Linked DNA regions of Kluyveromyces lactis. The main gene of each other region encodes a partner of the protein of the gene in region 2 in a complex. Links are inferred from orthologs where the notes say so. Each region holds a gene or a part of one and is shown on either strand. Other genes may lie near its edges.

Region 1 (3,177 bases), on a different chromosome or scaffold from region 2:
GAGGGATTACCGGGTCAGCCATCCGTGATGGCTCTTGAAAGAAGGTTCGGATCTACTTGGAGAAGCAGTGCAGGTGAAAGAACGTTCTTCCATAAGAGGTACGTAATAATACAAAGGATAGAAACGATTCTTCGTGAACCTTCGAGGTTTAACCTCCCGCTTGACATCACCAGAAGGAAAGCTGTACGCGTTATTGAAAACTTACGCGTGGGTAACAACAGATATAACAACGGATCGCCCTGCTGTATGACCTTAGCACAACTTTACCTCTATTTCTCTAAGTATATGGATTCATATGACGATTATTCGTTATCATTGAAGAACAAAGACGCTCCAAGTATTCGAGAAATCAAAAGCAGGCAGAAGAAGAAGACTCCATCCCAGTTGGCAGAAGAACATTCCATCATGACATGAGACCTGTATGACGAACTGTATGTAACTTTTTAATTTGATATTCTATATTCTATATATATATATATACAAATATGTGCGAACGTGTAGGATACCCTCACCTACTTCTTGACCGGTTTAGTCATTGAAGCCCATCTCTTTGAGTCCTCTGAGAACAACTCCTTCATTTCTGTTTGTTTCTGCACCAGGATCGCAGACCAATCATGCAACAGGTCAACGTATTCTTCCTCTACTTCCACAATGGCAACGTCTTGCAGTAAGATATCTTCGCTAGCAGTGAAATCCACCTCATCTTCAATGGCACATTTTCTAGTGAATTCAATCAACTCTAGTGCCAGGTGAGGACAGTTGCCATTCCTTTCACTGATCGATTCTACTAACCATTGAATTCCCTTGATATATATCCTGTAGCTGTCATTGATACAAACAATGGTCTCCTCACTAACGACCAAATCCTCATTCAAAGTCTTAGAGATCGTTTCGCCTCTCATCGGCTGTGTAATGTAGAAGTTCAACAGGTCTAATATTTCAAACACTTTGATTAAATATGCTCCCAATGGATCGATCACTTCGTTTAACCGTTTTCCAATAAGATCATTCTCACCTTCAAACGACCAGCTGTGTAAAACATCAGCCATGAACCGTAGTTTCTTAACGTACTTGATCAATGTCATCCTTTCGAAACGTAGCGTGCTCACACGACGCTGGACTGCGATAAGGTTGTTCAAATAGTCCACATATCTTGATATATAATTTGAATATGTGGAAACCAATTGTAACACAGCATCCAGAATCTCTTTCGAGATAACCACTTGACAGTAAGCCATGATAACTTGTCAAACTAAACCAATTGAGCAGTTAGTGGGCCCTTTAAACGGTTTTTAAATGCTTTTTCTTCATGCCCATCGCTGGTCTTCACCGGATAACATTAAAACCGAAAAGCCTTAATATTTAAAGAACCTAAGAATATTGGAGAAGTAAACCTTTAAATACCGAAACACAATACACAAATGTCAGTTAAGAGTTTAGTTTACTTTGAAGTTGGTAGTTGTTACATCAGTTGAGACAAACAACCAGTGCAACATGTCCAAGTTTAAATTTACAGATTTGAAGTCGATTCCTGGCAAGATTGAGCTTGCTAAGCAGTTTTACAGGTCTCGACAAGCCAGGTTAGCCCAAAGCAAGTCCCCTAGGGCTACTGATATCAATGAGAGGATCAGGAGTTTGCAGAAGCTTTACTGGGCAGTGAAGGATAATGAGGAACGTCTTATTGCAGCAGCAAGTAAGGATTTCCATAGGGCAAGAAGTGAAACGCTTACTATTGAATTAGTCCCCTTGTACAACAATATCCTTTATTTGATTAAAAACATGAAGAAAGAGATCGAACCAAAGAAGATTAAGGTTAGTTTACTTGCACATTGGTTCGGTACGACTTTCGTGGAAAAGATCGCATTGGGGACCGTTCTTGTCATTTCTCCGTTTAATTTCCCCATATTATTGGCATTGGATCCATTAGCTGGAGCCATCGCCGGTGGTAATTCCGTGGTGTTCAAACCTAGTGAATTGACACCAGCATGTGCTGAAGTAATGGAAGAGATATGTAATGAGGCGTTTGAAAAGGGTCAAGTGGAGACGGTGCAAGGTGGCGCTGAAGAAACAAGTGCTTTAGTCGAATCCGGTAAATTCGATAAGATATTTTACACTGGATCTACGACCGTTGGGACAATCATAGCAGAGAAGGCTGCTAAGAGTCTAACACCATGTGTATTAGAACTTGGTGGGAAGTCTCCAGTGTTTATATCCCCCAACTTGCCTAAATCACAATGGGAGACTGCAATAAGAAGAATTTATTACAGTTCTATGGGGAACGCAGGTCAGATTTGTGTCGCCGCAGATTATGTCCTATGCCCTGACTCGATCTACGATGAGTTTGTTGATTCTTGCAAGAAAGTATTGAATGAGTTTTACCCTTCTGTCACCTCTGACACTGAATATACTCACATGATTCACGAAAGAGCCTACAATAGGATTCAAACCGTCATTGAGACCACTAAGGGTCAAAAAACTGTTGCTCAACATTCAGACAATCTCCCACCGTTATGTATCCCACCCACCATAATCTCAGACGTTTCTTGGGATGATCCAAGTATGACCGGTGAGAATTTTGGACCCATCTTACCTATCATGAGATATACTGATTTGGATGAAACCATCGATACTCTCATTAAAAGATTCGACACACCTCTTGTCCAATATATTTTTACTAATTCAAAGGATGAAATTGATCACATCTTGACAAGAATTAGATCTGGTGCTTGTGTTGTTAACGACACATTGCTTCACGTTGGTATCGAAGAGGCTCCTTTCGGTGGTATAGGAACCTCGGGTTACGGTAATTATCATGGCCCTTATACCTTCAAGACGTTCACTCATGAAAGAACTATATTCAAACAACCATTTTGGGTGGACCTCTTGATATATGTTAGATATCCTCCGTTTGATAAACTCAATACGAGGATTTCTCAGATATCTTTAGAGGATAAACCAAACTTTGACAGAAATGGCCGCAGAATTTATGGCATTAAGAATATTGGCATCATCTTAACGTCTGGTGTATTATTGGGATTCTTAATCAATGCCATGATGTGATGGAGTTCTATGATCCGGTGTTTTCTTTCGTATTATGACCCAGTTTTTCATAACTATGATTTCTATTTTATATTTACAAAATATGTAGTACTTATGATCTGTTACTTGTTTTCTTTC
Region 2 (3,882 bases):
TGTCCAATCGATGCTCAAGGAAATTGCTACTGCATTGTTAGAAAATGATGTAAACATTAGGTTGGTTTCTAGACTTCGTGAAAACATCAAGAACACTTTGTTATCCAATGCTAACGTTAATGCCAAATTTACAAACGCTCAAACGAAGAAACTAATCCAAAAGACTGTATTTGACGAACTTTGTAACTTGGTGGACTGTGAAGTGACCTCTCCATTTCAACCTAAGAAGAGACAGAGCAACGTTATCATGTTTGTTGGTTTACAAGGTTCTGGTAAGACCACTTCTTGTACAAAGCTAGCGGTGTATTACTCAAAACGTGGTTACAAAGTTGGTTTAGTTTGTGCTGATACTTTCCGTGCCGGTGCATTTGATCAGTTGAAACAAAATGCCATCAAGGCCAAGATTCCATTCTACGGCTCTTATACAGAACCTAATCCAGTCAAAGTTGCAAAAGATGGTGTGGACAAGTTCAAGAAGGAAAAGTTTGAAATTATAATCGTCGATACCTCTGGTAGACATCAACAGGAAGATTCTCTATTCCAAGAAATGGTTGAAATATCGCAAGCTGTCAAACCAAAACAGACAATTATGGTTCTTGATGCATCCATTGGTCAAGCCGCAGAACATCAATCTAAGGCTTTCAAAGAAAGTGCAGATTTCGGTTCCATTATTTTAACTAAGATGGATGGTCATGCAAGAGGTGGTGGTGCAATCTCAGCTGTAGCATCCACAAATACTCCAATTATCTTTATTGGTACTGGTGAACACATCCATGACTTTGAAAAGTTCTCTCCCAAGTCGTTTGTTTCTAAGCTTCTCGGAATTGGTGACATCGAATCTTTGATGGAACGTTTCCAAACAGTATCTGACCAAGATGATGCAAAGAATACTTTAGAGAATATCCAACAGGGTAAATTCACTCTACTTGATTTCAAGAACCAGATGCAAACAATAATGAAGATGGGTCCCCTATCAAACATCGCGAATATGATTCCTGGTATGGGGAATATGCTTAACCAATTCTCAGAAGAGGAAACTTCAAAGAAAATGAAGACAATGGTGTATATTTTTGATTCAATGACCAAGAAGGAACTTGAATCGGACGGTAGAATCTTCATCGATGAACCTAGTAGGTTGGTAAGAGTGGCAAAGGGTTCCGGAACAACGGTATTTGATATTGAAATGCTTTTAATGCAACAACAGATGATGGCAAGAATGGCGCAAACAACTAAACAAATGGGAGGACTCCCAACAAAAGGCGGAATGCCACCAAAGGCAGGTATGCCTTCTATCCCTGGTATGCCATCAATCCCTGGTATGCCAAATATCTCTCCACAAATGATGCAACAGGCTCAACAGCGTATGAGACAGAATCCTGGTATGATGAACAAGATGATGAGTATGATGAAAGGATCTGGAGGTGGTATGCCAAACATGCAAGATATCATGGGAATGATGCAAGATCCAAGTATGCAAGAAATGGCCAAGCAATTTTCTGGGGGAATGTAGAGCGTTTTCTTCAGAATGGGCTATTATAAAACGCAATCGGCAGATACTTGGATATTTGTACATCTTAGTTTAGTTACATACACTCTTATTTACCTTCTTCTTCGTTAATCTGTAAATTAGAAATCCACCTCTGTGATTATACCTTCAATAGAGCTAGCTTCATTATAAATGGGTGAATCGAGCCCAGTTTCTTCTTGTGCAGTCTCTCTCGAAGTACTATTCGTAGTAGATCATTAAAACGATCATTGTTTACATTTCAAGAAAAAAAAACGATATCGAACTGAAACAAATACGTTAATATTAAGACACACGCAACTTAGAATGACAGAAGCATTCAGTTAAAGTTCCAGAATCGTTGGAAGTAATATCTAGGACCGACTGTGGATGAAGATGACGGAAGCACAAGAGTTCTTGACTCCTACGAAAGGTGTGAATTCAAGCAAATTCAATATCAACCATGGCCATTTTATTACGAACCTAGAGAATCAGGAGAGTCCGTCCAAGCTAGGTGCATACACACCGGGAAAATACTCTACCAGTAGAGTAATAGAATCACTACACAAGCAGATAGACGAGCTGACGAGTACGAATCTTAAAATGACGTCTCAATGCCATCAATTAGTGAATGAATTGGAATCTTCTGGGAAGAAACAGAATAAACAATTGGAGACCATCTCGAGACTGCAGACAGAAAATATGAACCTAAATGCAATACTAGATAGGAAAACTAATAGAATGAATGAATTGGAGAGTTCTTTGAAGAAACAAACTGTGTTCAATGAAGATGCAGCCAAAAAAAATCTTGAGTTAGAAGAAACCGTTAAGAAACTATCACTCGAAAACGAAAAGCTTACGGAACAATCGACTCTGTATAAAATTCAATATGAAGCTATCGTCGATGCACACCAATCTTATAAACAGTTTTTCACGAACGAAACAAGCACTTTACGAAATGATCTAATGTCTTTGAAACAATCCATGACCAAACAGTTGGAATCTAAGACGAAGGAAGTATTGGCAATCGATGAAAAGATACAAAATAAACTAGAGTCACTAGACAGTGCTCAAGAATCCTTTAAAAAACATGCATCTGAGCAAATAGAAGATAATATCAAAGAACTAAGGCTTGATAGTTGGCAATCTTCGTTAAGAGAAGCGCAAGCTTTATTGAAAGAATACAAATCACAAGCACAAGCAGAAGGTATTACCATTCAAGAACAACCCAAAGCGTCTATCCCACAATTAAGAAATCCCAAGAGGAAAACTAGTGGTCAAAAGAGGACAAGTTTTTATGGAACTCCTACTGGCTTCTCAATACCATCAAACAAACAAACGCCTCCATCTAGCAGTTCAACTCAATTGCCTGGCCTCAAAAGAGCTTCATCAATCAGAATATCATCAGATCCGAACCGTAATAGATAGCAAGAGTAGTATTTCCCAATATTCTATTGTTGGCAAACATATATTGTCAATAAATTATCCTGGCGTTTCTAACTTATACATAAATCTAGCGATTCACAATTCATTATATAGAATTTATGATTTGAATAAAAACGTTACCTTTCTTGAATCCGATTTTCCAGAGAATACCAACACTATGTTCAAGTACTCATCCTAACCGAGCAGGTAGTAGTGAAGATCTACATACTTTCATCAGCGTTCATTTTTGTATTCAGGATATCGGTTTCTTGTGTTTCCTGCATGATCCATTTCCATATATTTTCGAAACAAAGGATTATTTGTATAAAGAAAGGAACTTGGCACGAATCCTAAACGATTAAACAAAAACGACAACAAATTACAATGACCACTGGCCGATCGTGCCGCCTGGAAATCATCATTTTTACAAGGAAAACGGCGAAATCAATATCATAGTACTAGACAGTTGTCTCTGCAAGAAGAAATGGGACAACAAACCTTCGAAGATAATGAAGAGATTATTTATTCGTCATATCTTGTAAAAAAACCCACCGTCTCGAAGTCTATTTCATCCACGAAACAATTGGCAAAGAACTGGACTAATTGGAGTGTCAAGAAGACGAAATACAATCACAAGTACTGGTGCGTCTTAAGGAAGACGCAATTCAGTTATTATAAGGATGAGTCTGAGAGGGTTGCCGAGAAAGTTATTCCGATACAAGATATTTTGGGATGCAGAGCGTACGGGGATAACAAGCTTGATATCTTCACGAAGGGGATGACTTTACGATTCAAATCTCCAGATGCAGATGTAATCCGTAGTTGGGTACAGTCCATCAACGAGTTATTACCACACTTGAACAATTATGGCTCTGAATCTGACCTTGAGATTGCAGAATCCGATGACGAACAAATTGAAGGGGAACAAGCTGATGAACATGGGATACAGAAAA

The links. Proteins that work in one complex are often made in the same cells at the same time.
Region 1: the proteins of SHE3 (region 2) and SHE2 are in contact, whole or in part, in a crystal structure (PDB 4WNL), measured with the Saccharomyces cerevisiae proteins. The link is inferred for Kluyveromyces lactis from reciprocal best matches to the Saccharomyces cerevisiae genes SHE3 and SHE2. Residues at the interface, in NP_009688.3 of Saccharomyces cerevisiae: Val363, Leu364, Pro365, Gly366, Val367, Lys368, Arg369; in NP_012792.1 of Saccharomyces cerevisiae: His150, Lys153, Trp157, Glu190, Thr191, Ile194, Gln197, Glu198, Ile199, Leu200, Leu211, Ala214, Trp215, Ile218.

What each region holds. Positions count from the first base shown.
Region 1 is NC_006038.1:1,092,745-1,095,921, forward strand, and holds SHE2 (She2p), read right to left. Parts: upstream 1,239-3,177; coding exon 513-1,238; downstream 1-512. Other genes in the region: EUC1 (Euc1p), read left to right, coding at 1-414; HFD1 (hexadecenal dehydrogenase), read left to right, coding at 1,495-3,060. UniProt on the Saccharomyces cerevisiae protein: RNA-binding protein that binds specific mRNAs including the ASH1 mRNA, coding for a repressor of the HO endonuclease. Part of the mRNA localization machinery that restricts accumulation of certain proteins to the bud and in the daughter cell.
Region 2 is NC_006040.1:758,901-762,782, forward strand, and holds SHE3 (She3p), read left to right. Parts: upstream 1-1,894; coding exon 1,895-2,932; downstream 2,933-3,882. Other genes in the region: RNA-binding signal recognition particle subunit SRP54, read left to right, coding at 1-1,510; OPY1 (Opy1p), read left to right, coding at 3,414-3,882. UniProt on the Saccharomyces cerevisiae protein: RNA-binding protein that binds specific mRNAs including the ASH1 mRNA, coding for a repressor of the HO endonuclease. Part of the mRNA localization machinery that restricts accumulation of certain proteins to the bud and in the daughter cell.